Linked DNA regions of Elephas maximus indicus. The protein of the gene in region 2 purifies or fractionates together with the protein of the main gene of each other region. This does not show direct contact. Links are inferred from orthologs where the notes say so. Each region holds a gene or a part of one and is shown on either strand. Other genes may lie near its edges.

Region 1 (7,041 bases), on a different chromosome or scaffold from region 2:
AATGAGCAATGTCATGATAAATGGAGAAAAGATTGAAGTTGTCAATGATTTCATTTTACTTGGATCCACAATCAACACCCACGGGAGCAGCAGTCAAGAAATTACTGCATTGGGCAAATCTGCTGCAAAAGACCTCCTTAAGGTGTTAAAAAGAAAAGATGTCACTTTAAGGACTAAGTTGTGCCTGACGCAAGCCATGGTGCCTTCAATCGCCTCATATACATGCAAGAGCTGGACAATGAATAAGAAGACCAAAGAAGAATTGACGCCTCTGAGTTATGGTGTTGGTGAAGAATGTCGACTATAGCATGGACTGCCAAAAGAACAAACAAATCTGTCTTGGGAGAAGTACAGCCAGAATACTCTTTAGAATCGAGGATGGCAAGACTTCATCTCACATACTTTGGACATGTTACCAAGCAAGATGTCCCTGGAGAAGTACATCATGCTTGGTAAAGATGACGGTCATCAAAAAAGAGGAAGACCCTCAATGAGATGGACTGACACAGTGGCTGCAACAAAAGGCACAAGCATAACAATGATTGTGAGGATGGCGTATAACTGGGCAGTGTCTCATTCTGTTGTACACAGAATCGCCATGAGTCAGAACCAATTTGACGGCACCTAACAACTTTTTTTTTCCATTTGGTAGTTTATCTTACTCTCAGGATACCAAAATCAAACTCATTGCTGTTGACTTGATTTCAACTCATAGTGACTCTATAGGACAGAGTAGAACTGCCCCAAAGGGCTTCCAAGGATGTAATCTTTACGGAAGCCAACTGCCACCTTTTTCTGCCAAGTAGCGGGCAGGTTCCAGCAACTGACCTTCCTGTTAGCAGCAGAGCACTTAAGCACTGCTCCACCAGGGCTCCTCCACCCTCAGAATAGTGGGAATTAATTACAAAAACAGACGTTTTTTAGCTAAGCCCTGTTCACTTTATTGGGAAATGATTACTTCTCCCTAGTTTCTAAAGAACTTACTATTTGAATTGCTACTGTATGCATATCCTATTGCTTAATAAGTTTCTGAAAGGCAAGGAGGAATCTTGTCTTAGATTGTCTTTATTTAGTATTGTAGTTAGTAAAGGTGAGTGAGGATAAGGATATGGCCATTTATGGTCCAGCCCTGTGTCATCACTTTACATAGACTTTGCTATGAAATAGGTATTACTTCTATGTTACAGAAATCAAGGCTTGGCGATTTAGTAATGTGCCTAAAAGTCACACAGATAGAAAATAGCCTAGCCAGAAAGCCAGGTGTGACTCAAAGTACCATGTTCGTGATTACTATGTACAGTTAGTATTTAATTAATAAATGTATTACTTAGCACAGTGAAGAAAAAAAATGGATTTAGAGTTAAAAAGGCCAAGTTCAAATCCTAACTCTACTGGCTACATAACCTTGATTATATTTTCTCACAGTTTAGGAGGATAGAAGTCCAAATTCATGGTGCCAGCTCTAGGAGAAAGCCTTCTCCCTCTGTTGACTCTGGAGGAAGGTCCTTCTCTCTTCTGAGCTTCTACTCTTGGGCAATCTTCATGTGGCCTGGCATCTCTCTTCCCCTATCTTGGCTTGCTAGCTTGCATTTAATCTCTTTTATATCTCAAAAGAGAAGGACTCAAGATACACCCTACGCTAACCAGTTCATTAATATAACAAAGACAACCAATTCCCAAATGGGACTATAACCACCGGCATACAGGTTAGAATTTACAACATATATTTTGTGGGGGGACAGAATTCAATCCATAACAAGTTGTATGTTGTTGTTGTTGTTAGGTGCCATTGAGTTGGTTCCGACTCATAGCGACCCTATGCACAACAGAACGAAACACTGCCCGGTCCTGAGCCATCCTTACAAGCATTGTTATGCTTGAGCTCATTGTTGCAGCCACTGTGCCAATCCACCTCGTTGAGGGTCTTCCTCTTTTCCGCTGACCCTGTACTTTGCCAAGCATGATGTCCTTCTCCAGGGGCTGATTCCTCCTGACAACATGTCCAAAGTATGTAAGACGCAGTCTTGCCATCCTTGCCTCTAAGGAGCATTCTGGCTGTACTTCTTCTAAGACAGATTTGTTCGTTCTTTTGGCAGTCCATGGTATATCCAATATTCTTCGCCCACACCACAATTCAAAGGTGTCAATTCTTCTTTGGTCTTCCTTATTCATTGTCCAACTTTCACATGTATATGATGCAACTGAAAATACCATGGCTTGGGTCAGGCGCACCTTAGTCTTCAGGGTGACATCTTTGCTTTTCAACACTTTGAAGAGGTCCTTTGCAGCAGATTTACCCAATGCAATGCGTCTTTTGATTTCTTGACTGCTGCTTCCATGGCTGTTGATTGTGGATCCAAGTAAAATGAAATCCTTGACAACTTCAGTCTTTTCTCCGTTTATCGTCATGTTGCTCATTGGTCCAGTTGTGGAGACTTTTGTTTTATGTTGAGGTGTAATCCATACTGAAGGCTGTGGTCTTTCATCTTCATTAGTAAGTGCTTCAAGTCCTCTTCACTTTCAGCAAGCAAGGTTGTGTCATCTGCATAACGCAGGTTGTTAATGAGTCTTCCTCCAATCCTGATGCCCCATTCTTCTTCATATAGTCCAGCTTCTCATATTATCTGCTCAGCATACAGATCGAATAGGTATGGTGAAAGAATACAACCCTGACACACACCTTTCCTGATTTTAAGCCAATCAGTATCCCCTTGTTCTGTCCGAACAACTGCCTCTTGATCTATGTAAAGGTTCCTCATGAGTACAATTAAGTGTTCTGGAATTCCCATTCTTCACAATGTTATCCATAGTTTGTTATGATCCACACAGTCAAATGCCTTTGCATAGTCAACAAAACACAGGTGAACATCTTTCTGGTATTCTCTGCTTTCAGCCAGGATCCATCTGACATCAGCAATGATATCCCTGGTTCCACATCCTCTTCTGAAACCAGCCTGAATTTCTGGCAGTTCCCTGTTGATATATTAACTTTTCTAATACATACCGTCTTCTGAAAATATGAAGATAATTGTACCTGTCTTACAGAGTTGTTATGAAAATCAAAACTTGAAAGTTCTTCTGAAAGTGTAAAACATTAATAAGTATATTACCAATACTTGCTAAGTTACAACACTTCACTTGGAGTGGGATGTAAGTCAGAAATATTTGTTCTCTAAAGCATAAAAGCAGCTTAACTTCAGAAGTGAGGGAGCAAGATGTTTAATGGTTATGACCACAGGCTTCAGAATCTGATGGACACCAGGCTGTACCTCAGCTCCTGACACTTGTTGCCTGTATCTTTGGCAGACTAAAATCTTTAAATCTGGGATCTTTATCTATAAAAAATATATGTAGAGAGAGAGAATGTGCAAAATAATAGTCTCTATATCCTTGTAGAGAGGATTAAGCGACCAAATGCGTGTAAACAGATTAGCACGGTGCCTGGCAAAATTCTATTGCAGCACTCAGTTATTGATAACTTCTCGAGCTGTCAATGGCCACTGACAGTGGGGCCTGAAGGGCTGAGGAAACCACAAAGGCCTTAGGGTCCCGGTCCCAAGAGAGCCAAGTCCAAGGACAGACAGCACAGGTGACAACCCTCAGCTGGAGCTCGAGGTAGGAGGGTCAGCGCAAGGCCGGGAGGCGAGAAAATGTCCTTACCCCCGCCCTGGGCAAGGAAAGGACTGGTCAGAGAGGGGCCCCGGAGCGCCCGCGGCCGGCGTCGGCCTCCCCGGGCCCGGTGGAGGTGGCTGAGCAGTCGACTCACAGTTCCAAGCTCTGTGGCGCCGCCTTCCGAGTGTACCTGGAGATCATCCTCCTCTTCTTCAGCCGCGCCCGGGGCGGGCACGCCAGGGTGGGGGCCTCCGGGCCTGGCCCTCCCGCCGGCTCCGGCCCGGCCCCCTCCCGCCACCTTCCGCCCCCGTCTCGCCCCGTCGCCCCCCAAGACCGCCCCCTTTCCAGTTCACCGCCCTCCCGTCTTCCCGCGGGGGGCGGAAGTGACGAACGAGTCAGGGCACCTGCCAAATGCTCCCGTCGACGTGCGGCGGTGACAAGGCTCGGCGGTTCCGGAGGCTGAGAGGGTTTGTGACTGTCTCCTAGACCGTCCACTGGCCTCAGGTACTAGACGGGCTTTGGGACGGAGATCGGACCCGGCGTTGGCAGCTGGTGGCGCTGCAAAACGCAGACTTCGCCGTAGCAGCTTCTGAACGGTGTTCTCACGCGGTGGGAGGAGCGGCGGAGGAACGGTGCATCAGCAAAGAGGCGCCCGAGAGGGCGTGGAGCCGTAAGAGGCATTAACTCGGTTTTGTCGGGTGGCGGGAGGGATCCTCCTGGTTCCGGCGGCAGAAAGCCCTGAGCTCTATTAGTGCCTTTCCTTTCTTTGCTTCCGTTTTTCTCATCTGTATGGTGTGGAGTTAGCCTGGGTGATCTTAAAACCCCTTATAATAAGGTACGCTTGGCGTAAGGGGGTAGAGGTAAGGTGGGTGGAATTATTACCTGTCCTTCTGGGTTGAAAGGCAAAATGACTTGGACAGACTATGTTGAGTGGATGTCTGGATAAAAGGTGCAGGTTGCTGTCGACCTCCTCTCATTAGTCGTTAGTGAAGTATAATCACTGAATCGCGGCATTAGGGTGGTCCATCCTGTGTAGTGCCTTACTTTAACAAGCATCTCCCCTTGGAAGTGCGGAGTGTCACTGCTTTCACCTACTTCATGATGTAGTGCTTGTTTGTGAATTTTTCTAACCACACTTTGAACCTGTATTTTCCCTCTACCCCTTTGGGAAATAATGAGTTCCAGAGGTATGTTAGTACTTTCATTTGTAACTGAAACCTTAGAAAACCTTAGAAAATAGGTATCTACCACCTCTTGCACCAACCACTAATGCCAAAGATGAAGAAATAGAAGATTTTTACTAACTTTTGCAGTCTGAAATTGATCAAATACGCAGTCAAGTTGCGTTGATAATTACTGATGATTGAATGCGAAAGTTGGAAACAAAAAAGGCTCGGTAGCTGGAAAATATGGCCAAGGCAATAGAATGGATGCCAGAGAGTGCATGATAGAATTTTTGAAGAGCGGTGACTTTTTTTTTCCAACATAAATGGCGACTATACGTGTGGACCTCACCAGATGGAATACACAGGAATCAAATAGACTACATCTTCAGAAAGAGGTGATGAAGAAGCTGAATATCATCACTCAGAACAAGGCCAGGGGCCAACTGTGCAACAGACCATCAGTTGCTCATATGCAAGTTCAAGATGACGCTGAAGAAAATTAAAACAAGTCCAGAAGAACTAAATTACAACCTTGAGTATGTCCCACCTGAATTTAGAGACCATCTCAAGAATAGATTTGATACATTGAACACTAATGACTGAATATCAGACAAGTTGTAAGGTAACATCGAGGCCATCATACATAAAGAAAGAAAAAAACAAAACCCATTGCCATCAAGTCAATTCTGACTCAAAGTGATTGTATAGGACAAAGTAGAACTGGCCCATAGGGTTCCAAAGAATGGCTGGTGGATTTGAACTGCCAACCTTTTGGTTAGCAGCCAAGCTCTTAACCAGTGCGCCATCAGGGCTCCTAAAGAAAGCAAAAGGTCATTAAAAAGACAAGAAAGAAAGAAAAAAACAAAATGGATGTCAAAGAGACTCTGCAACTTGCTGTTCAATATAGAGTACCTGAAGCGAATGGAAGAAATGATCATGTAAAATAGCTGAACGGAAGACTTCAGAGGGTAGCTCAGGAAGACAAAATAAAGTATAATAATGAAATGTGCAAAGACCTGGAGTTAGAAAACAAGAAGGGAAGAACATGCTCGGTATTTTTCAAGCTGAAAGAACCAATGGAGAAATTCACGCGTTGGGCTGCAGTATTGAAGGATTCTGTGGGGAAAGTGTAGAACGACACAGTAAACATCAAAAGAAAATGGAAGAAATACACAGTCACCATACTAGAAAAATTGGTTGACGATGAGCCATTTCAGGAAGTAGCATATGGTTAAGAAATGATGATGATATTGAGGGAAGAAGTTCAAGCTACACTAAAGGCATTGGCAAAAAACAAGGCTGCAGGAATTGACGAAATACCAATTGAGATGTTTCAACAAACTGATGCAGTGCTGGAAGTGCTCACTCATCTATGCCAAGAAATTTGGAAGACAGCTACCTGGCATCAGACTGGAAGAGATTCATATTTGTGCCCATTCCAAAGAAAGGTGAGCTAACAGAGTGTGGAAATTACCAAACAATATCACTGATAGCATATGCAAGTAAAATTTTGCTGAAGATAGTTCAAACACAGGAAACTGCCAGAAATTCAAGCTGGGTTCAGAAGAGGATATGGAATGAGGGATGTCATTGCTGATATCAGGTGGATCCTGGCTGAAAGCAGGGAATACCAGAAAGGTGTTTACCTGTGTTTTATTGACTATGCAAAGGCATTCAACTGTGTGGATCATAACAAATTATGGATAACATTGTGAAGAATGAGAATTCCGGAACACTTCATTGTACTGATGCAGATCCTGTGCATAGACCAAGAGTGAGTCGTTGGAACAGAACAAGAGGATACCGTGTGGTTTAAATTTGGGAAAGGTGTGCGTCAAAGTTGTATCCTTTCACCATACCTCTTCAACCTATATCATGAGCAGATAAACCCAAAAGCTGGACTATATGAAGAGGAGCAGGGCATCAGGATTGGAAGAAGACTCATTAACAACCTGCGTTTGCCCAGATGACACAACCTTGCTGACAGTGGAGAGGACTTGAAGCACTCATTGATGAAGATCAAAGACCACAGCCTTTAGTATTGATTATACCTCAATATAAAACAAAAATCCTCACAACTGGACCGATAAGCAACATCATGATAAACAGAGAAAAGACTGAAGTGTTCAAGCATTTCACTTTACTTGGATCCACAGTCAACGCTGTGGAAACAGCAGTCACGAAATCAAATGACGTATTGCACTGGGGGCATCTGCTGCAAAAGACCTGCACAGCAACTTAACAACAACAACACCCACCTCTC
Region 2 (6,853 bases):
TGCTTTACAGGCATTGTTTTCACTTAATTCTTTCAACTCGGCAAGTAAGACATTTTATTACCCCTTTTTACATCCAAGAAAGATCAAGGCATTTAGAAAACAAAAACTAACACTACCTAAGGTGACACTAGGGAGTCCTGGTAGAGCAGTGGTTAAGCACTCGTTGCTAACCTAAATGTGAGTGGTTTGAACCCACCAGCAGCTCCTCGGGAGAAAGATACGGCAGTCGGCTTCCTTAAAGACGACAACCTTGGAAACACTATGGGCAAGTTCTACTCTGTCCTATAGGGTCGTTATGGGTCGGAATCGACCCGACTTAATGGCAATGATTTTGGTTTTGATTTTAAGGTCACACCCCAGAGTTCGTCCTCCCATCCTTTCAGCCCAAAGATCCTTTTGGATACTTCTCCCAACAGATACCCTGGAGTCCTGACAGGCCAGGGGGGTTACAACACAGCAGGGAAGCAGGATAAAGTGGCCTGTGTACCAAGAGCCGTAAGTTCCCAGAAGTGTCACTATTGATCTGGGGCCGGCTCCTACCCTATGGAACGGTTTCCCCTTCGAAAGCCTGGGCAGTTCTGACTAACCCGGTCTGCCCTCCTGCCTGGTTCCAGTCTCCACGCTCTCGAAGCCAAGCTCCAGGCCCCGTAACCTTCCTTCTCGATCCTGCACCTAAGTTCCAGTCAACTGTCCCCAGTCAGACAAGAAAACTAAGACCGTGAGGGTTGCTGCAATTTTAAGTTTACAATGAACAACAGTGAGCCTCACACCCAAACCTCCGCCCTCGGCCTCTCTCACCAGGTACCGTAGCCCGCAGCTCGGCTGGACGCCGGTTCTCCAGCCCCACAGGGCAGCCCGGAACAGGACCGCTGCCATCTTGGCCTGCCACCAACGCTAGCCTCCTGCGCGCGCAACTCGCCTGGCCCCGCCCCTTCCTGCGCGCGCAGCCTGGGACTGGAAAAATGCCTCAAGGGGGCGGGGCCAGGACCGCCCTGGGCAGCATAAACGCCAGGGTAACGCGGAGTCGCTCAGCAGTGACGTGACACGCAGCAGACGGTGAGGACGTGCGCGCCCTGGCTCCTTCCTCTTTTTCGGCTCCATCTTTGCCGTAGCGGCAGCAGGGGCAACATTTCAGGTAAGACTTGGGTCACGGCTGGATACAGAGGGCATAGTGGCGGGCTGGCTGCGAGTTTAGCGGGCGCGGGGGAAATGGAGGAACAGGGCTCCCCTGTGGGCCTGGCTCCGGGTCCCACCGGGCCTCCCCGGTAGGCCCGGCCTGCCCCACGTGAAGCCTCCGGCCACCTCCGTCCCGGCTCAGTCCTATGGGACCCGACACCCATTTCCCGACCCGCTCCCCTCTAGAGCGTGTTTTCCTTTTTTCTTACAATCTTATTTCTTAGTCGCCGTCATGCAGCTCTTCGTTCGCGCCCAGGAGTTACACACCCTCGAGGTGACTGGCCAGGAGACAGTCGCCCACATCAAGGTAAGGCTGTGTGATTTTTCCTGGACTCAGTATTTGTGCTCCTCGCATCCACCCGCCGCGGGAACACTTACGAACCTCATTTTTCCCTGTAGGCTCATGTAGCGTCGCTGGAGGGCATCTCCCCGGAAGATCAGGTCGTTCTTCTGGCAGGCACACCCCTAGAGGATGAGGCCACCCTGGGCCATTGTGGAGTGGAGGCCCTGACCACTCTCGAAATAGCTGGCCGCATGCTTGGAGGTGAGTTGGGGAGGAGTGGCTGTTGAACTACCTGTAAGCTGTTAATGGGCATTGAGTGTGTAGTTCTTGAAGCTTAGTGTCATTTTTGTGGCAACGTAGATGGTGTCATTTCTAGTGAGTATTCCTGTTTGCCTCCCTTAATTGAAACAGTAGAGAGGTTCACGGGAGACGGAGCCAGAGTGTAGTTTTAGGTCAATCACTTATCAGAGCTTTGTCTGAATCTCAATTTTCCCACGAAAATCAGGTCAGACCAGATTTCTAAGCCACCTTCCGGTTCACCTTTAAAATCAGGGGCTGGGAAATTCTGACATGAAACCCCAGAATGTGCCACATCAGCACATCTTTGGTCAGAGATCAAATTTCTACACTGTCCTTATTTTCTTTGGGCCCAGCTTGCTGCTTAAGGCCTGGGTTGAGGGAGGAGGAGTTCTTGCTCTCCTAATTGTTTGCCGTCTGTGTTTTCCATCACAGGCAAAGTCCATGGCTCTCTGGCTCGTGCTGGGAAAGTGAGAGGTCAGACTCCCAAGGTAAGTAAGAGTGTCCTTTGGGGTTTGTTGTCTGCTGTCACGGCTAAGCCAAGGCCTTTGACTCTTGCCCTGTGTGCCTTCTCTCTCCGGGAAGATGAGGCCAAGGAAAAGGGTTCCTCAGAAGATGTCAACCAGGGTCTGATCAGTCCTCTCCTTTTATAGGTGGCTAAACAGGAGAAGAAAAAGAAGAAGACTGGTCGGGCCAAGCGGCGGATGCAGTACAACCGGCGCTTTGTCAATGTTGTACCCACCTTTGGCAAGAAGAAGGGCCCTAATGCCAATTCTTAAGTCCTTTATAATCGTGGCCTGCTCTAATAAAGCCCTTTAGCCCAGCAATGTCATTGCTTTATCTTCATTTGCAGGGCCTCAGGGGAGGCATGGTTCCTAGGGCTAGTTGGTGGTGCGTCTTCTAGCAGAGCAGTGAGGCCTTGTTTCTTGGAGGTGTTGAGTTAGGAAAAGGTAGAAGCTCTTGGTCTGGTGAAAAGAAGTGATAAACTGCAAGAGAAAGCTTTGTGTGAGGAGCAGTAACCACAACTGTCAGCCCTTCAGATGTAGAGCTGGGAAACCCCAGATCCCACATAATTTAGTAATTCTTCCAAGCACTGGTTTCTTTCTATTTTTAACAGAGAAGGAATCATTGTGGTGGGAGGTGTGTTAAGAGGCAGCAGCGGAGGGTAGAAAATTGGGAAACACTGATCTGGCCTTTCCTTGAAGTTGAGTTCAGCTGTGGGCTTGGTAGAGTCCAAGGAGGAAGCTAGTCTGCCTCAGCTTTGGAAAGCTTGGTATTTTGCTTGATGCCACTGGCACCCTGGCGATGGGTGCTCTTGTTTGAGCCTCTGATTGGCTCACTGGCGTAGCTAATCTACTCAGCCGTCTTTGGGTAGCTGACTATTTCAGTGTTCCAGAAGCGGAGCTCCTTTGGGGCTGAATCAGGGTTCCCTCTGGCAGCTGAGGCTCCAGTGCATCAGTACCCACTCGTTCGTTCAGCTACGTTTTTGAATCTGCTGACTCTTGGGTTACAGCATACCAGGATACGATGGTGACTTTGGACTCTGGATTTGGACTGCCTGAGTGATTCTGGCTCTACTTCCTGTCTGACCTTGAACCAACTACACATTTAATCTCTCCAGAGTTGCTGTGAGGATTAAATAAAAGATGTAAAGTGCTTAGATCAGTACCTAGTATAGTATAAGTGCAAATATTGGCTATTTTTGTCTTTAGTGATTAAGATTTAAAAAAAAAAAAGATTCTCTGCCATCTAGGACCTTAGATTCTTGTGGAGAAAATGGCAACAAAATAGACGTTAATAGTCTCAAAGAAAGTAAGCAGTCTGCTACGATGAAATGAAAGGTATCTCTAGAGAAGGTCTCTGAAGATGGGATGTGTGAGCCAATCAAGTGATGAAATGGGGAAAGAGTTGCAGCCAAGAGAACCCTGCAAAGGCAGGGACAAGTGATGTCTGGGAGAGGGTGGCTAACCCTGCAGGGCCTTGTCAGTCAGAGGAGTCTGGCATTCAACTGCAGTAGGAGGCCATGGGGAACGGTTCCAGGCAAGGGACTGATGTGATCTGAGTTGTGATCTATTATTTTTTCTGATTTCCTGAAGGGCTTGCAAGAGAGTTAAGAAACCAGGTAAGGGGTTGACATCCAAGTGAAGGGGCAGCTTAGACCTCCAGTGGACTTGGTGTTGAAATAGATGACCCATATCCTGATAAATGCCAGTTCTTTTGGAGACAACTGGTGAGTGGGATCGGGTGTGCGGTAAGAGAGGAGAGGACCAGGATTCACTATTAGGCACGCCATGGGTCAGGTCTTCCAGCGCTTGGCAGAGTTCTTGGCAGTTCATCACCCCGACTCCCCTGTAAGCTCCATTACGACAGGAGCCCCATCTCATTTTGCTCCCCATTGTATTCTTGCTGCCCAGTATGGATGGCATTTAATAACCACAGCTGGGTGAACGACTGTGATATTCAATGAGAAGACAAAAGACGACGCAAGTTTAGAGAAAATCAAACGAGCTCAGACGTTTGTTAAATGTTGCTTTTTGCTAAAGAAGGGAGATGCCCCCAACGCATTCAGGCTGGGCTCAGGTGCCCCATCTGGGCCTGTCCTCTAGAACTGCCCCTTTGTATGCCTTAGAGTGGCCGCATCTCATCTTAATCTCCCATAGGCCTGGCACAATTAATGGCCCAGAGTAGATGCTTAGCAAAGCTTGGTTTTGGCCACAGCACTTTATAGGATTACGAGGGTAACCAAAAAAATCAAAACCATCGCCATTGAGTTGATTCCGAATCATAGCGACCCTAAGGGACAGAGAAGAACTGCTCCAATACGGTTTCCAAGGAGCGGCTGGTGGATTTGAACTACCGACCTTTTGGTTAGCCTTCGCTCTTAACTACTGAACCACCAGGGCTCCATTACAAGGGTAAAATAATTTGTATTTTTAGGCAATTTGGGGGCCACGTTTCGGCGCAACCACTAGGTGGCGAACTGGCAGCTGCGAATCCCGCCGAGCGTGTTTTCCTCTCCAAGCATTGCCGTAAAGGGCGGGGCTCCTCTGGGGCCCCGGGCGGGGCTCGTACGGTACGCCCGGCTTCTGCGCTTGCCCAAACGCCGCCAGAGCGAGGGGTGCGGGTTGGCTCCCGAGTGTGGGCGGGAATTGCCGAGAGTCCTCGGGTGAGCTTTGGCTAAGCGCTCCCTCGCCCCCGCAGAAGCGGAAGTAACCGAAGAAGCGCCGGAAGTTACCGAGCTATCGCCCTTGTGCGCTCACCTGTGGGTCGTGGCGCCAGTTGCCATGGAGCCGGCCGGGCCCTGTGGCTTCTGCCCAGTAGGGGAGGCTCAGCCAGCGCGCTACACCTGCCCGCGCTGTAATGTGCCCTACTGTTCGCTGCGCTGCTACCGGGCACATGGCACCTGCGCCGAAGACTTCTACCGCGACCAGGTGCTGGGCGAGCTCCGCGGCCGCACCGCCTCGCCCAGCCGCCTGGCAAGCGCCCTACGCCGCCTGCGCCAGCAACGCGAGACCGAGGATGAGCCCGAGGAAGTAGGCCTCAGCCCTGGGCCGGCGCCTGGCGGCCTCTCAGGTCTCTGGGAGCGGCTGACCCCGGCGGAGAAGGCGGCCTTCGAGCGGTTGCTGAGCCGGGGCGAGGCCGGGCGGCTGCTGCCCCCGTGGCAGCCGTGGTGGTGGGCCCGCGGGGCCGAGCCGCGGCTTCTGGAGGAGCTGGATGACGCGCCCGGCAGTGACGCCGCGGAGCTGGGGCCCGCTCTGGCGAGGACCCCGCCGGAGTCCGCGAAGGATGCTGCCACCGCCGCGGAGCCCGAGGCCGCTGAGCCTGTTCTCAAAGACGCATCCGGGGCGGGGGCGCCCTCCGTTCCCGCCCGCATCCCCGCGCTGGCCACCCTGAGCCGCGGCCCGGCCTCGCCGCTCGTGCGCTTCCAGTTGCCCAATGTGCTGTTCGCCTACGCGCACGCCCTCGCCCTCTATCACGGCGGCGACGATGCGCTGCTCTCCGACTTCTGTGCCACGCTGCTCGGCGTTTCTGGGGCCCTGGGCGTCCAGCAAGTCTTCGCCTCTGCAGAGGAAGCCCTGCTGGCGGCAGTCCACGTGCTGGAGGCGGGTGAGCACCCGCCCGGGCCCCTGGGCACACGCGGAGCCATGCATGAGGCCACCCGCATCCTGCTGGGCGAGGGCCCGGCCAACCAGAAGGGTTACACGCTGGCAGCACTAGGGCACCTGGCACAGCTTCTGGGCCGGGCCCGGAAACGGGCCATGGCTGCGGAAGAGCGGGATCGCCTGTACCGGGCACGGAAGAAGTGCCAGTTCCTGCTGGCCTGGACCAACGAAAATGAGGCGGCCCTCACACCCCTAGCCCTAGACTGCGCCAGGGCTCACCGAGCCCATGCCTTGGCAGCCGAGGAGATGACAGCCCTCACCGGGGAGATGGAGCGCCTCTGGGGAGGCCCCATGCCACCTGCTCCGAGGACTCTCATTGAGGAGCTCCCTGGTTGAACTGAAGACCTTTTGTCGTTAATAAAGCTGTGACAGGTCTGCCCTGTTGCCCCGCCTAACTCTACACTTTTGGACCCACAAACCACATCAGTCTTTCCCTAATCAAAGCTGAGCCAGCCAGTTGTAAACACCCCAGCCCCAGGATGGGAAAGAAGCCACACCGAGGGTTCCAGACATTTATCTAAAGTGGAAGAGCAGTCCTGTCCCCGCTGCTCTGTCTTTTGGGCACTGGCTCCGTTTTTTTCCTTGCTCCAAACCAACTCTTCTCTGAGGCTGTTTGTCCCCACCTCCCCTGGCTACTGATGGAGCTCAGAGAGGTGCAGGCCTTTGAGTCCAGGTGTGTCCAGGCTCTTGATGCTGGGTGTGCTGGTGGATGGTGGGCACGTGCCCTGACCTGGAGTAGGTGTGCCACCTCAGTAGATGTAGGGCACTATGCGGTAGGGCACACACTGGCAGTACTCACGCCAGGCCAGGCCGTACTTCTGCAAGCACTGCCGCTCGTCACGCGCCTCCCGGTGCACCAGCAGCGCCGTAAAGTAGAGGAGGTAGAAGTAGGGCAGCAAGTGGGAAGCCCCTGTAGAGAGGGTGGGCTCTGTGA
Region 3 (7,969 bases), on a different chromosome or scaffold from region 2:
CAGAGCTGTAGTGGAGGAAGTGGATGCCTGGCGGGATCATCTTCACGCCCCGGAACTTGGGCCCCACCTCCCAGGAGTTGTAGTCAATGCCAAACTCTGTCCCCTTGGGCATGTTCAGGATAATCACAGTGGCCCCTTCAAAGAAGAGGCGCTTGGCAAGCTCAGGATCCATCTGCATGGCAGCCATGAGGCCAGTGGTGGGTGCCCAAAAGGAAAATCTTTCTTCCTTGTCTTCCAGAACAGCTGAAAAAGAAAGAAATCGGCGTTAAATACAACTTGGGGAAGGAAGCTGCATTTGCCAGGCAGTCTCTGTGCCAGACATTGAAGCAGATCCCTGACATAATAATCTCCTGTAATCCTCACCACAATCCCGCAGGCCAGAATCATGAGTCCCATTTGACAGATGAGAAAAGGAGGCTCAGAGAGAAGAGGCTTTTTGTGTTTTGGTTAAATGAGCAAGAACACTCACTTCACAGCTAGAAAGACATAGGTCAAAGAGAAGTGATATACTCATGGTCGCACAAGGATCCCAATTAGAACCTGGGTGGCCTGCCCTCCAGGCCAGTGTTCTTCTCCCTGCTCACTCCTAAGATCAACTCTCAGAGCTCTCTCTCACAACAGAGGCTGTTCCAAACTAGAACTCCGCCTAAAACCTATTGCTGGAGAGTCCCAGGAAAGTCGGAAAGGCTGATTAAATCAAGCACATACCCAGTTTTCCACAAACCTCTGGGAAGGCCCAGAAATTGATAGAAGGTTAACAATGAAGACACTATGTAAAGTGGGTACACAGCATCTAAAATCCACAAAAGGTTTGAGGAGTGGACAACTTTTCAATCACAAACTCCCCCTTCTCCTTTTACTCATTTTTTTAAAAAAAAAACCCTAAAGTCCAGGGAGTGAAACACCTTCCCAAAAGGACCAGTCAGTGGCAGCTCTGGATTACTTGCCCAGAATGGATTCAAGTGGTGAGGCTAGCCTAGGATCAATGTTCACAAGAAAGAGGGCTTAGAACGCTTATATTATCTACCTTTGAACTATCCACAAGGACATATTGATAAAACCTCTGTAAGCTCCAGCATGAGCTAATTTAAACCAAACAATTATCTAACCATCTAGTCCCAAGACACCTATCTATTCAACAAATGTTCACTGAGCGCTGCACTGTACCAGGATCTTTGCTGAACACTAAAAGGAAACATCCACAGAGTAAGACAGTCACTGCCCTCGAGGTACTTAAAATTTAGCTGGATGTATAACCAAGATCCTAAAATTTCAAACAGAACAAGCTGCCTGTTTAATCCTGTTTACTCTTTTTCCCCCTTAAAACAAACAAAACAAAATACAGTGGGGAAAAGAAGACCAACTCTTTTCTACAAACATCAAGGGCATATCCTACCTTCTTAACTCAAAACCCACTACAAATAACTCTCTCTAAATCTGCCTATTTTTCAAACTGCAGCTCACAACCCATTAAGGGGTTATGATATCAATTTAGAGCGTCCCAACCAACATTTTCTTTTAATGAAAAGAACAGAATAAAAAAAAAGATCAGCATCCATCAAAAGTAGTGAGAAGTACTTGTTTTCTGAAGTTCCGTGTGTGTGTGTGTACAGTTGGTTGCAACATAAAATTTATGTTACTGTAGGTCACAATCAAAAAAGTTTGAAAGTGACTGTTCTAAATAATTTGCATCTTCATTTTTCTATCCCCTACCCTTTTATAAAAGGCACTTAATAAATATTTGTTGAATGAACATATAGCTCACTTAGAAAAACTGCTGATCAATTAATTACCCATTTCACCTTGTGACATCTGTGTGTTCCTCCTTGACAATGACAATTTCTTTCATTCTAATTCCACCAGCCTGTAACTCTCCATATCTGCAGCAGCCAGCACATGGCCTGGCACAGAGGAGGTGCTGCGAAAGGTTCACTGAATATGCACAGAACTCTACAGCCTACCAATCAATCTCACTGACAGCCCTGTGAGCTCCTCTCAGCCCTGGAACACAGAAAATCATTTCTATTCACTTCCCTCCACCAGCTCCCTCATCACCACTAAGCCACCATCATCTCTCACCCTGAGAGTGCTCGCCCCTTCAATCCATTTTCCATACAACACCCTGAGTGACCTTTTCAAAATGCCAATCTGATCATATCACCACCCACATTTAAAACCCTCGGAGTGGCTTCCCAAGCAGTTCTTGGGAAAGCGAAATTCTCAGCATGAACTACAAAGCCTTCACACTCTGGCTCCTGGCAACCTCCCCAGCTTCCTTTCATACCACTTTCCCCTCAAGCTCTCTGTTCCAGCTACACTGGCCTCTTTCAGGCTCTCAAACAAGAGAGCAAAATGCTCTTCCCTCTCCTCTTTTCGGATCTCAGCTCTATAATCACCTCCTCAGTAAAGACCTCCGTGACCCCGCGGCTAGGTCAGGTATCCTGTGACAGACACTCAGGGCACCTCTACCTCTCCATTTCACTTCTCACGGTTGTTTGATAGAGCGCTGTCACTCCTACGAGTCCTTTTGTTCCCTGTATCCCTAGCACACATCAGACGCTTGATAAACGTTTAATAAAACTATGATCTCTATTTAGCGGACAAAAAACCAGGGCTCGGTGCGGGGAACAACCTTTCCCGAAGTCACACACAGAGCCGGGCAGAGCCAGGCCAGGCGCAGTCAAGATCTCCGGCCCCCGAACTCTAAAGCCAGGAGGAAAGCGGAGCTAACCCGTGCGCCCCAGGAAGCCCTGGCGGACCGCGTCTCTAAAGACGGCTACTCAGGTAAAAAGACCTCGGAGACCCCAGCGTCCCACAGCCCGGGAGGCTGCCGCCCCGGAGAGGTGGGCTTAGTTCAGGGCACTCCGCGGTCCCCGGGTCGGGAAGAGGGGATGCCCCGCGCCCGCAGACAACGAAAGCAGAGGAAGGAAAAGAAGCCAGGAAGCCGCACTCACCAGCTCCCGCCTCGCCCCAAGCTCCCGCACCGCGGAAGCGCACCGGAAGTTCGCTCGCTTCGGTGACGGACCGGAGCAACGGAGAAAGCGGCCCGGTGGAGTTCTCGGTGATGGAAAAACGGTGCCTGCTTGCAGGTTCCGCCCCATCAAATGTTTTTTGCTACTCTTAGCTACTCGTTTTTCTTCCTAAATTGTAGATTAAGAACTTTCACTAAACTGTGCATTTTATATCCCCCTCCCAAAACGCACCAGCCATAGTCCCTGGTTCTCAAGAAGTCAAGGTCGTTGAAACGGGGTCATGGTCATGGTTGCCCAGTAGTCACAGGGGTGCTCAGTCACAGTCCTAGTTAGCCGATCTGTGGTCCTGGTCAGCCAGTCTTTCTCCGAGTCACAGCGTCACAGCTGGCCTGTTACCACCCAATCTCAGTTACCATCCACACTCAGGCCTAAAGGAGAGCCTCAGAAACCCAGCTTCCAGCCCAAGGAAAACCAGTCTCAGCAGTTGGAGAAATCACCCAGTCAGTCCCTCCAGCCATAATCACCCAGCGTCCTCTGGCAGCACAGGCCTAGTCTGATATCTCAGGCAGGCTATCAAGGTGTCCTGAGGGAGGTTACCTGCCTGTCTTGTTCTCCATTGTTTTCCTGAGGCTTAGCACAGAGCCACGAAGGCTCAGCTGGGTACATATATTATGTATTTAATTAATAATAACAGTAATTTGGTGTTAATAAATGGCTTCCATTTGTGGGTCTAGCCCTCTGCTAGGTGGCTGCATCATTCAGGGATCTACCAGAGAAACAGAGCCAGTAGGAGATATACATTAAGAAATTTACTGGGAGAAATTTGCTTCTCCTGTTGTGAGGACTGGCTAGGCTAAATCTGAAATCTGTAGGGCAGGCCATCATGAAGAGCAGGCTATCAGCAAGGGCAGGGTGGAACCCTCTGGCACATGCCAAAGATGCCATCCACAGGCTGGATTTCTTCTTCAGGGAAGCCTCAGCTCTGTTTTTAAGGCCTTTCAACTGATTGTCTCAAGCCTGCCTGATTATCTAGGATAATCTCCCTTACTTAAAGTGAACTGATTATGGACTCCGATCACATTTACCAAATAACTTCACGACAACGCCTAGATTAGTATTTGATTGAATAACTGGGGCCTGTAGCCTAGCCAAGTTTACACATCACAAAAAACCCATCACAGTGGTGTACATATATTATCTAATCCCTACAACCATCCTGGGAAGTCGATCTTATCCCTGTAACTCAGACTTTATCCACTGTAACACATATGCAATCGAGTTGGCTTGAGCCAAACTTGTTCTCACCCTATATCCACCTTGAAATCAGTTTTAGCACACTATTGCATCCCACAAAGCCCAAATATGACTTCAAAGCGTGGAAAAATGTCAGTTTTACTTGCAATTTCAGGGAAAGTTGAAGAATCCCACACAGCAAAATGTCCCCTTCATTCTCCTATCAATATATTTACCCTTTCCTGAGAGTTTCCCTAGAGCAGCTAGCTACGTTGTACACTATTTTCTCCCCACTCCCACCCACCCATCTACTTTTTCTAGGTTTCCGCTTCCTCCTCAAAAATTCATCTGCTCAGAGTAAAATAAACTTGAACCAAACAGCATTCAACAAAGCCCACAACCACCCACTCTAGCATACCACAGGGAACAGGGTGTATGTGTGGGGCAGAGTATTGCCCAGTTCATCCCACTGCTCAGATATTATTTCTAATCCCTACACTACCCTGTTGTTGTTAGGTGTCACTGAGTGGATTTTAACTCATAGGGACTCCATGTGACAGAGCAGAACTGCCCCATAGGGTTTTCTAGGCTGTAATCTTTATGGGAAGGAACCCTGGTGGCACAATGATTAAGTGCTCAGCTGCTAACCAAAAGGTTGGCAGTCCAAACTCACCCAGTGGCTTTTCAGGAGAAAGACCTGGTGATCTGCTTCTGTAAGATTACAGCCAAGAAAACCTTAGGGGAGCAGTTCTACTCTGTCACATGGAGTCACTATGAGTCAGAATCAACTCGATGGCATCTAACAACAACAATCTTTATCCTAGTAAGTCAGTGTTAGTAGTCCCAATTTACAGAAGAGAAAAATGAGGTTCAGAGAGGTTACAAAGCTACGATGCAAGCCAAGGTTTGACTAGCTGTTCTTGTCTCGGTGCTGCTGCTCCTTCGCTTACCTGTCGCGCTTTCTTAGTGACAGCTGGCCACACCAATCTGTCTCAGTCAAAATCCATCCCTTAGTGGGTCGAAGACTAGACTGAGCCCTGCAGCCATGGTTAATCACCATGAGCTGCTGCAGGATTAACCAGAGACAGCCTCCATCAGTCACAGTCATGGTATCAATCTCAGCCTGTCATGTCAGTTCCATTTCCCGCATGAAGAAGCTTAGCTCCCTTCCTTCACACACAGCTCCCAGTCTTAGACACTGAATTCTGTGATCTGGTATCAAAGCTCTCTGTTCCAGGTGGGCTCAGCATCTTCTCAGAAACTCCAGGGTACTCAACACTGAAGCTGTAGACAGTGACCTCAGAATCCCACCCTGTGGGGAGCATGTCCATCTAGATAGATCACGGTTTCTCAACCTCAGCACTATTGACATTTGGGGCCACATAATTCCTTGCTGTGGGAGGCTGTCCTGTGCCTTTTAAGATGTTTAGCAGCATCCCTGGCCTCTACCCCCACATGCCAGTAGCACCCTTCAGTCATGACAACCAAAACTGCCTCCAGACATTTTCAAATATTCCCTGGGGGGCAAAATCGCCTCCCTTCCCCCAGTGGAGAACCACTGATCTACATGAACCTGCTTCAGATTATTCCCAATGAGCACAGAGGCCGGCTCTGTATTAATGGAAGACAGAGATACAGATACAGAGTGTGTGGGGTCCTGAAGAATTTTGTGGTGACCCCATGTTTGTGAACCCAATTCTGTTCCAGAACCTCAGGGGGTGACAGAGAGCTAAAGGAAACCTACAGGGAAAATGCAGGGAAGGGTTCACAAAGCTCCTAGCAGCAATTGTCTCCAGCCATGGAGGAGGGGAGGGTGATTCTGGAGAAGAGAATCCTGCATAGCCTTTTGTGTGATTTAATGAACTACCTTTTCAAAGAAATGAAATAGCATCTAGTATTTGGCATTATGGGGAAATACTCAGAATATAAGCAAAAGAAGCATTTAGAGTGGTATTCACAATGTGACTTCAACTCTGAAAAAACACGTGTGGTCCAAGAGACAAGTTCAGGTTTTACATGGATTATGATTTTTCAGTATTTTTATGAGGACTATCTTTCTTTGGAAACCCTGGTGGCATAGTGGTTAAGAGCTACGGCTGCTAACCAAAAAGTAAGCAGTTTGAATCCACCAGGTGCTCCTTGGAAACCCTATATCGCAGTTCTACTGTCCTATATAGGGTTGCTATGAGTTGGAATCGACTCAACAGCAATGGACTTGGTTTGGTACCTTTCTTTGGCAAGTGATACTAGTTTTCCATTTGTGGAAATAATATATTTTCCTTTTTAAATAAACTTGATTTTGAAATGAGCCAATTTAAAGAAAAAAGATAAGTCAATAATGGAACAGGTGACACAGGGCTATGATAACCTATGTGAAGGTGGTAGGCAAAGACTGACGTTGAGGGTTCCAGTGTACGTTACTCACCAGGCATCCTAGAAGGAGCTGCCTGTGTGTGTGGGGGGGGGGGGCGTTGCAGGAAGTGACTTCAGTGTAGGTGCTCTTCTTTGAGGAAGAGAAGCAGGACCACACTGTTCCTTCACACACCAAGCCCCTCCATGTCTTGGAACCTACGCTTTTATTGTTCCCAATGCCTAGAATGCTCTTACCCAAGTTCTTCACATCACTGGATTTTCTCTTCATTCAGGACAAAAATCACCTCCTCAGGTAGGCCGTCTCTGACCACCTAAAGTGTCCTCCTGTAGTGACCTATCCCCTCCCCTGTGTATTGCCCTCCAAGTGCTGAGCACCCTGTAACTTCCTTTGACGAAACAGCTTCTGTGTTTTGCTATTTCCTCCACTAGCCTGTGAGTTCCTGGAGGCCAGCAACTTCGACTTATTTGCTGTCGTATCTGCAGAGACTAACCCAAGACCTGGAACACACTGAGAGCTCTAAGTATGTGCTGAATCAAAGTGTTCTAAGTTTGGATGTCTCCATCTTAGTTTTAGCCCTTCCCACTATGCCACCTTGCACCAATAGCCAAAGTCAGAGATAGAGATGACAAGGCAGTTTGTGGTTCAGCATCAAACACATTTATTTCACTTTTATTGAGTATACAAGAACAGAGAGCACACGCATACAGCACAGAGCACTGAGGTGGGGGAGCGCTGGGACGAGAGAGGAGAGAGGGGTGTGAGTAAAGGAACAGGACAGCATCGCAGTTGGTTGGTAAGGTGCTTTTGAAAAAAAAAATTATTTAGAATGATGTTGCTCATGCAATTTCAGGCCAGTCTTGGAATGTGGTTGCAGGATTAAAAAACTGAAACAGGTCCTGGCACTTCTTATACCCTCCCAATGGAAAAGATCCCGAGAAAGCAAAGTAAGAGAAAATGACGATCTGGAGGATGGCAGAGTGGGAAAAGCCCCTGGTGAGCATCTGGTTCAACTTGCTCATTTTGTGAGTGGGGAAACTGAGGCCTAAAAACAGGAAGCGGTTGGTCCGATGTCACAAGGTGAGTTAGAGGCTGAGCCAGGATGGCCACTCCTTACTGCCCACGGGGGATTTTTCCACTTAGCCTCCTGGGTGGAGAGGCAGTACAGAAAGGATGAGAAGCGTAAAAGACAAAAAAGGAAAAGTAGGTTGAAGACAGACAAGTGTCTATGTTCTCTCTGAAGAGGAGGATGGGAAGGAAACAGTGCCCTAGATTTGGCTTTGCCACTCCTCTCCTCTGGTGGCGCTACCTGCCTCTCTGTGGAAGGAAGGTCACAGAACTCGTAGGATGAAAGCTTCCCAAACCCTGGTTACCTCGTCCCTACCCTGAAGTC
Region 4 (7,738 bases), about 7.2 Mb from region 2:
GTGGTTCCCTGGGCCTCGGTGCTCATCTGTCAGGTGGACCCTTATCAGTAGGGAGACCCCGCCCCACCCCCAGTCTCTGGGCAGCCCATAGCTCTGCACTGGCTCCCGGGCCTGGCTGGCACAGGGCATTAAGGGCGGACAGAGAAGGCCTGGACAGCAGGTCCTGGGAGGGTCTTTAGCATGCCTCCCCCCTCCCCCCGCCCAGACTCCCAGCCCTCCTTCAGGCTATGCACCTCACCTGCCTTCTGGACCCGACTCCCAGCCTGCTACGACCTCCCCCACCTGTTGGTGTGACCTCTCAGGGCCTGGACCCCACATGAATCAGCTGTAGAGGCTGGACCCCCCAGTTGGGGGTACTCAGAGCCCCTCTGGCCCAGGATCCTGCCCAGTGCCGGAGGGCCCTGCAGGGGGTGGGGAGCAGATGGGATCCCTGACAAGGGCTCTTTGTTCTCTGCTGGGAGGTGGGGCTGGCTGGCAGGGTGAGCTTGCCCCCGCCACCTTCCCCAGGGGGCAGGGCCAGACTGAATCTCAGTGTCGTCCTCGGGCTTCCGACTGGAGCCTGGGGGCTCTGGGGGGCTGTCAGTAGGATCTGCCAGTGGAGCCTCAGGAGGGGCCTTGAGTGGCCCCTTGACCAACCTGAGTCTCCCAGAGACCCTGAGGAGGGGGCCTCTAGTCCCCTGGTAGGACCCAAGAAAGCCAAGACCCCCTGGTGTGCATGGTTTCTGGCTGCCCCGGGTCACCCTGGTGAACCTCCCCTAGTGATGTGGTGGCGGGGGCCAGGGGTCTTCGCGTCACCTCACATGTGGAGCTGGTGCAGGGCCAAGGACAGGAGAGCCTGACGGAGGGGCTGAGTCTTCTCCCCTCTGCAGAGTGCCAACAGGAAATGGCCGGCCAGATTGGGGGAAGACTGAGGTGGCCCAGGGTCGGCCTTTTCTGGGCCTGGTGGTGGACAATAGACCCCGTCCCACCGAGGGTGACGTGAGCTGCTGCCAGTGTTGCTGTGACCACTGCAGACAATCCGAGCCTGTTGGGCTGATCTCGGGGGGCGGTCACTGGGGAGATGCAGTCAGCACCTCCCGGGGCAGTGAGCTGGCGTGGGGGTCAGTGGGTGGGCACTGAGGTAGGCAGGTCTTCACGTACATACTGTGGACAGGAACAAGTTCAGTCTGTCCCGTGGTGGCCTGTGTGGTCCTCAACAGGTGGCCCTGCCCCTCTCATAGAAAACAGGCAGGAGAGGACGCCCACATGCCTGGGCAGAACCAGCACCAGGTCCTCACTGCTCTGCCCATCCGCTTCCTCCCCCTTCCTGCAGGGGCCGGGGGCTGTGGGACCCCGGCATTGGAGAGTGCTGTGCACAGAAGGTCTGGGGGGGCCTGGGAGGGCATGAGGGCAGAGCAGCGAGGTGCTGTGATATAACCACCCCCCGACCCCCAGGCATCTACATCCTCATCGCTGTGGGCGCTGTGATGATGTTTGTGGGTTTCCTGGGCTGCTATGGGGCCATCCAGGAGTCACAGTGCCTGCTGGGAACGGTAAGGTGGGGTCCCTGCTGGTCCTGGGCTGGAGGGGGAGGCACCCGGGAGGAGGTGGCCCTGGTAGAGCTCAGGCACGTCCGCCCCCTCCCTCCCCTCCCCTCACCTGGTGGAGGGGCTGGCCGGCTCTGAACTTTCCAGTTGGCTCTTAGATAAACCATTATCTCTTTATCCTGATTCTAAGCCCCAAAGTGGCTCTCTCTTCCTTTGTTTAAGAAAAGCCACAAACACAACAGGGAGAGAGTCCCCGCCCTGCTCCCCTCTGGCCTGGTGGCCCCTTTCCCCTTGGCCGGGTAGGGGGTGAGGCTGGCAGTGTGCTGGGGAGCCTGTACCAGTGTCTCCGCTAGGGGAGACTGAGGCATGACGTGGCAGCCCCTCTGTGTTGGGGCTCACTAGGCACGCTTGCTCTCGTGCCCACCAGGTGGTGCGGTGGAGGGGCCTGGGGAGCACACCGCCCCCACCCACCATCAGAGCTCTGGAATCGGGGGTTGGGAGGATGCGGCTCTGGCATCTTGTTCCTGGGCTGAGTCCTAGGTTTTGCTCATGACTAGGCCTCATGGCTCACGCCGCCTGGGACACGGTGATTTGGTGATTACCCCCGCCTCCCATCCTGCTGGTCACTTGGGTGGCTGCATCTCGAAAAGGCAAACCCCATGCTGCCTGGTGGCCTGGGGCCCCAGGAAGAGCCCCCAGACTAACTTACTGCTTCCTCTGCCCACTCCCTCCTCCCATCCCGCCCTCATGCGGCCCCCCAGTTCTTCACCTGCCTGGTGATCCTGTTTGCCTGTGAAGTGGCTGCCGGCATCTGGGGCTTTGTCAACAAGGACCAGGTGAGCCAGGCCCACCAGGTGAGGTCCTCATCCCAACCTGGGGATGCTGGGGGGAGGAATGGCCCCTGTTCAGAGTGTGGGGGATGGTCCAGCCTCACCCACAGATGGCGGGTGTACCTTGGGGCTCCCCCCCGTTATGTTAGTAAGGTCCAGGAGGGCTTCCTGGAAGCAGCGACACTGGGCCTGAGCTGGGGCCAGCTAAGATAGGACCCCCCCCCCCGCCATGTATCTTGGGGACCCCGCCTTCCTAAGGTGTGTCAGGTGAGCACACTTGTCCACCTGAGGAGGTAGGCTCTGCTCTGGTGACCCCCTAGCCTGCTTGTCCTCCCTGCAGATCGCCAAGGACGTGAAGCAGTTTTACGACCAGGCCCTGCAGCAGGCCGTGCTGGACGATGAAGCCAGCAATGCCAAGGCCGTGGTGAAGACCTTCCATGAGACGGTGCGGCTGCTGGGGGTCTGAGGGGGTGGGTATGGGACCCATGGGGCTTGCAGGGCTGGGCTGTATGGGTGCACATGGGCCCCAGGAGCTCTAATCTTCCAGGGGTAGGGGCAGGGGCAGCCTGGGCGTTTTCCTCTGTGGGCCTTGGGGAGGCTGCTCCTCTCTGTCCTCTAGGTCCCTGGGTGGGAGTGGGTAAGCCAGGTCTCTGAGCAGCACACTGCAGGTGGCCATCTCGGGGCTCAGTTACCTTAGGAGGAGCAGAACAAGCCTGTGGGGTGGCCGCAGCCCGGCAGGATGCACTGTGGGGTGGGAGTGGGGACACTCTTCTGTGGCCATCCGGGCCCCTGGCCAGTGCTCCTCAAGCCCCCTGCCAGCCTGACTAAAGCTGCCCTGTTCTCTGCAGCTGAACTGCTGTGGTTCCAATACACTGACCACACTGGCCACTTCGCTGACCAAGAACAGCCTGTGTCCCTCAGGCAGCACCTTCCTCAGCAACGTCTTCAAGGTGTGCAGTGGTGGCCGGGGCTTGGGGCTTGCCATGGGGTGGAGCTGGGCAATGGTGGGCACGCATAGGGCAGGTTGTGCCCATCCTGGGGCCATGGCCAGCAGGGAGAGGACCACTCTGCCGGGGCCGGGCTTGCTGGGGTCACAGAACTGACCGAAGAGGGGCACCATCGCTTGCAGTCCAGGTGAGGTTGTCTGAGGCCCAGGGTGTCGAGTGGCCTGGTGGGATTGGTGTTTGGCTGCCCATGCTTGTGGTTGAGGCCGGAGGTGGCCCTTGGGGGCCTCAGCAACCTGTGGTAGCACTCAGCTATGCGGAAGTGATTTGAACCAAGTGTCCTTGGCCTGGGGATCTACTTTTGAAAAACCAGCCACTGAAAACCCTGTGGAGCACAGTTCCAATCTGACACACAGGTCGTCACCGTGCATCGGAGTGGATGCCACAGTAACCAGTTAAGAGCTAACCTGTGCTGAGAGTGCCGGCTGGCCAGGGTGGGCTGGGAGAGCCATGGTACCAGGTCCTCTGTGCGTTTTCTGTGTTGCCTGACTGTCACGCGAAACTTGAGGGGGACCCTGAGCCCGCCTGCTGTCTGTCCTTGCAGGAGGACTGCCACCAGAAGATCGACGACCTCTTTTCTGGGAAGCTGTACCTGATTGGTATCGCAGCCATCGTGGTCGCCGTGATCATGGTGAGCTGGGGCCTCGGGGGGTGGTGCCCAGCACCTGTGCCATGCCTCACGTCCCCTCTCCCCCGCAGATCTTCGAGATGATCCTAAGCATGGTCCTGTGCTGTGGAATCCGCAACAGCCCTGTATACTGAGGCTGGAAGCGGCCGGCCATGTGCACAGCGTCCCCGGAGGCGGCCAGCCGTGTGCACAGCGTCCCCGGTATTACTCTGTGCCGTGTACATAGCGTCCCCGGTATTGCTCTGTGCACTCAGCCTTTTCGTTTCCCAGGTCTCCTTTTTGTTCTCAAGCCCTTGCCACCTTTCCAGGGCTGGTGGCCCTCGTGGGTGACGTGGGAGTGGACCGGCGGCCTGGGGTTGCAGGGCAGGGCCCGTGAGGCTCCTCTGCTCTGAGGACCAGGGAGGGAGCCTGCCTGGCCCTGGGGCCTGACCCTGCAAGCTGAGGGGCCGCAGCCCTGCCCCACCCGTCAGCCCGCACCTTTTGTAGCCCTGACTCCCCCTCCTCTGACTGTTTCTAGAGCAGCGTTTGAGCTCTTAGCTCCACGGCAGCGCTCCTTTCTAACATGTCACCCCCAGCTGTAATTACGTCATCTCCAGTCACAACAGTCACTCAGTAAAGAAGGAAAAACCAGGCATGCTAGCACGGCTCAGACTCCCTTCCTGGGCCACACGGGGGTGGGCAGTGGGCCCGGGAGCACGCCACAGGGATGTGCCCCCTCGGTAGGCCGTAGCGCCCCTCCTTCCTTGCACCGAGCCTGGGCAGAGTGCCCCGAGTGGGGGCAGCGGGGAGATGTGGCGGAGGATGTGTGCCCCACTCCTGCGGGGCACCCTCCTCACCATTTCTGACGCCGCCCAGGCCTTGGGTTTCCGCCCATCCTGTGAGTGCCTCAGCTGTGGCCATGCCAGGCCCACTGTCTGGCTGGGCTATGAAGGGTTTGGTGGACACCAGGACTGCTGGTTCTTCCCCTTCCTTCCTTCCTTCCTTCCCGCCCATTTGGGTGCTTGTGAACCTTTGTTGGAGGAGCCAGTGGCTAGGGCAGGTCTGGTTTGGGAAGGGCTCAGCAGCCAATGGGGGAACCCAGTGAAGTGGCCCACCAGGGTGCGCTGGGACCCACCTGGATCTCTACCCTTAGTCCAAGCTCTTCTAGTCGGTGAGCATTATGCAGACCCACCTGGCTAGCCACCGCCCATCCCGGCACGGAGAGCTTTGGGATGGGACTTCTCCTCGGACAGGCTGCTTTGTCAGGGATGCTGGGCAACATCACCTGGAGTTAGGGTGGCACCCACCTGCGCACACGCTAAACTAACCCCTTGTGACAGCCCAGCAGTCTCCTTGGACTGGCTCTGGAACTCAACCCCAGCCCTGCACGGGGAGGTTAAAGGGTCTCAGAGGGCCTGCACCTTGCACACCTGGGCTGTAGGGTTCAGGTACAGGAAGGTCCATGGAGTCCATCCTCTCTGCTTCTGCTGTGCTGTGGGGCCCACAGGTACATCCGCCCAAGGCTGCAGCGCAGGGGCCTGGAGCCTGCCTTCTGCATGGCAGTGACCCACAGTGGGTTCCTGGTGAGGCTGGGGGTGGGGGGAGGTGGAGTGTTACGAGGTGACCCGAGGTTTACTGGAGACCAGGGGCTGAGGTAGGGGCCCAGCTTCCCCTCTTTGTGCTTCTGGGCTGGGCAGCTCCTTGAACCCTTGGTTTCCCAGCAGAGGCACCTCAAGAATGTGGGACAGGTGCCCCCATAGAGAAGGGGCAAAAGCACCGCCCACCTACAAGCCTGGGGGCCGAGAGAGAAGTGGCTGAGCTAGAGAACCTGGGACCTCGTCCTCCCTTACCAGGCAGGGAGGCGTGACCTGCCTTAGGCCAGTGAGAAGGACTAGGCTGTCAGCTCCCAAGCCTGCTGCTGCCCTCTGGTGCCTGCTCTTGGAGCACATACTTTCCCCGGGGCCCACCAGTCCTGGCTGACTTGGAAGTGGAGGGAGCGAAGCACTCGGTTCCCCTCCTCTCCTTGCCCAGCCCTCCCAGGCCTCATGGGCTCCGGCTCCCAGTGGGTCAGTGGCACCCAGGGCCCCCGGATGGGCGCTGACCCTGGAAGGATGTAGTCAGGGCAGAGGCAGCCTTGGCTTCCCCACCCAGGGGTGCTCCCTCCAAGCCTCCTCCTAAGCCACACCTCTCCACGACCACAGCAGTGGCCTCGGGAGACGGGGGGGCCACCATTAGTGCCTCCCCATCTCAGGTACGGCGCACACAATGGTTAGGGCACACGGGGAGGGAACAGCTGTGTCCTTGTCCCTGGGGAAACACCCTAGAGGTAAATCACAGCCCTGTCCCTGGGCAGGGCCCAGGAAGGTCCCCAGGGAGCAGGTACGAAGTGTTGCCATGGGGACTAGGGGAGAGGCTGGCGCGCCTGCAGCCCCCACGTGCGCGGAGCCCCGTTTCCAAGATGCCCCCTCAGCCCTCATAGGTCGAGACCCTGGTCTTGACCTGGGGCTGCGTGACTGCGGGGGCCCGCCTGGAGAATCTGGGGACTCCGGTGGGGCGGGGTGGGGCCGGCCGCTGGGACGCTGCAGGGGCGCCTTGGTCGGCACTGACCGACAGATGGAAGGAAAGGCAACGCATTGCTTCCGGCCAGGGCCGGAAGTGCCCGGGGAGTGGCTATGTGTCCTTGGAGCGCCAGAACCCGCTTCCGGCCTGAGGCCGCCGCAGTCCTCGGGGGTGCCGGCAGGTGGCGCTGGGCCCCGGGAACCCAGCACTGGCCGCTGGCTTTCAAGCATTCTGGGAGCTGCATCCGGGGGCCTCCCTCCCTTTTCTCCTTAGCCATTTCCGGTTTTTTTTTTTTTTTCAAATAAGCCCTGGGGCCTCCGGGCTATCATAAGCCAGCCCCTAGTGCAGGGGAGTGGCGATCTGGCTGAGACACATGCCCGCACAGGCCTACATGTCCCGGCAGGCCTCGGGAGCAGGGACCCAGTGCCTCGTGGGAGTTGTAGTTCTCTGCATGCAGAGGCGGCGGCCCCTGGCCGGCGGAGGACTCGGTTTCCCAGAGGGCCGAGCGCGGCGTCCCGGCAGGCGGCGCGACCAAGATGGAGGCATCCGGGCAACGGTGAGCTGGTAGGTTTGGGGTCGGGGAGGCCTTCGGGTGGCCGCTAGCCGCAGCCTGCATCCCGGTACCCAGCCCGACGTCTCGGTTTCCCCCGTCTTTTCGTGGCCTGGCCCTCGGGACCCCGAGCCTTCTGAGGCCTGGACCCGGGGCCCATCCCCCCGGCCCTGGCACGCGAGGATCTTTGATTGGTTCCCCGCCGCCGAGAGCTTATTGAGTGTCAGGCACAGGGCGAGGCGCTGGGCGCGTAGAGCGGTGTAAGGCCAGGCTCTGCCTTCAAGGCGGAGACAGACAAGCAGGAAGGAACCGATGCTCCCGGTCCCTGGGACCTGGTCTGCGCTGATCCGGGCCTGGGACACCCCCGCGCCTCAGCTCCGCCGGGACCCAGCTCTGCCCTCCGCTGAGCCCCTGAAGGAACCCGAGGCCTTGAGTCCAAGAAGCGACTCCCGGGCCTCCTAGTTCCCTATCGTGGGGCCCGGTCACTGTGTCCCCCACGCACCCGCTGCGTGCCCCACGGAACAGGCTGCTTAGTGACTTAAGGTGGTGCAGGGTAGAGTGCGAATTCGGAAAGCAACAGGTTCGTTGGAATTCTAGCTTCGACTTGGGCAAATTATATCCGCTCTGGCCCTGCTAGCTCTAAAACCCTCTCTCTCCTGAAG

What was found.
Region 1: the proteins of ZNHIT2 (region 2) and ECD purify together in Homo sapiens (affinity purification with mass spectrometry; 3 studies listed by BioGRID and IntAct, counting the BioPlex papers as one, with this or other methods). This does not show direct contact. The link is inferred for Elephas maximus indicus from reciprocal best matches to the Homo sapiens genes ZNHIT2 and ECD.
Region 3: the proteins of ZNHIT2 (region 2) and AAR2 purify together in Homo sapiens (affinity purification with mass spectrometry; 3 studies listed by BioGRID and IntAct, counting the BioPlex papers as one, with this or other methods). This does not show direct contact. The link is inferred for Elephas maximus indicus from reciprocal best matches to the Homo sapiens genes ZNHIT2 and AAR2.
Region 4: the proteins of ZNHIT2 (region 2) and TSSC4 purify together in Homo sapiens (affinity purification with mass spectrometry; 3 studies listed by BioGRID and IntAct, counting the BioPlex papers as one, with this or other methods). This does not show direct contact. The link is inferred for Elephas maximus indicus from reciprocal best matches to the Homo sapiens genes ZNHIT2 and TSSC4.

Annotation. Positions count from the first base shown.
Region 1 is NC_064834.1:14,311,318-14,318,358, forward strand, and holds the start of ECD (protein ecdysoneless homolog), read left to right. Parts: upstream 1-4,033; 5' UTR 4,034-4,116; exon of another isoform or gene 4,117-4,282; intron 4,283-4,293; exon of another isoform or gene 4,294-4,447; intron 4,448-7,041. Other genes in the region: primary cilium assembly protein FAM149B1, read right to left, coding at 3,767-3,813. UniProt on the Homo sapiens protein: Regulator of p53/TP53 stability and function. Inhibits MDM2-mediated degradation of p53/TP53 possibly by cooperating in part with TXNIP. May be involved transcriptional regulation. In vitro has intrinsic transactivation activity enhanced by EP300.
Region 2 is NC_064825.1:128,276,464-128,283,316, reverse strand, and holds ZNHIT2 (zinc finger HIT domain-containing protein 2), read left to right. Parts: upstream 1-4,856; 5' UTR 4,857-5,040; coding exon 5,041-6,255; 3' UTR 6,256-6,351; downstream 6,352-6,853. Other genes in the region: MRPL49 (39S ribosomal protein L49, mitochondrial), read right to left, coding at 799-876; FAU ubiquitin-like and ribosomal protein S30, read left to right, coding at 1,409-1,483, 1,576-1,720, 2,192-2,247, 2,410-2,535; delta(14)-sterol reductase TM7SF2, read right to left, coding at 6,669-6,829. UniProt on the Homo sapiens protein: May act as a bridging factor mediating the interaction between the R2TP/Prefoldin-like (R2TP/PFDL) complex and U5 small nuclear ribonucleoprotein (U5 snRNP).
Region 3 is NC_064843.1:33,304,108-33,312,076, forward strand, and holds the start of AAR2 (protein AAR2 homolog), read right to left. Parts: upstream 3,012-7,969; 5' UTR 2,955-3,011; intron 244-2,954; 5' UTR 188-243; coding exon 1-187. UniProt on the Homo sapiens protein: Component of the U5 snRNP complex that is required for spliceosome assembly and for pre-mRNA splicing.
Region 4 is NC_064825.1:135,486,227-135,493,964, reverse strand, and holds the start of TSSC4 (protein TSSC4), read left to right. Parts: upstream 1-4,731; 5' UTR 4,732-7,082; exon of another isoform or gene 7,083-7,090; intron 7,091-7,662; exon of another isoform or gene 7,663-7,738. Other genes in the region: CD81 antigen, read left to right, coding at 1,435-1,532, 2,288-2,362, 2,697-2,801, 3,205-3,306, 3,905-3,991, 4,060-4,122. UniProt on the Homo sapiens protein: Protein associated with the U5 snRNP, during its maturation and its post-splicing recycling and which is required for spliceosomal tri-snRNP complex assembly in the nucleus.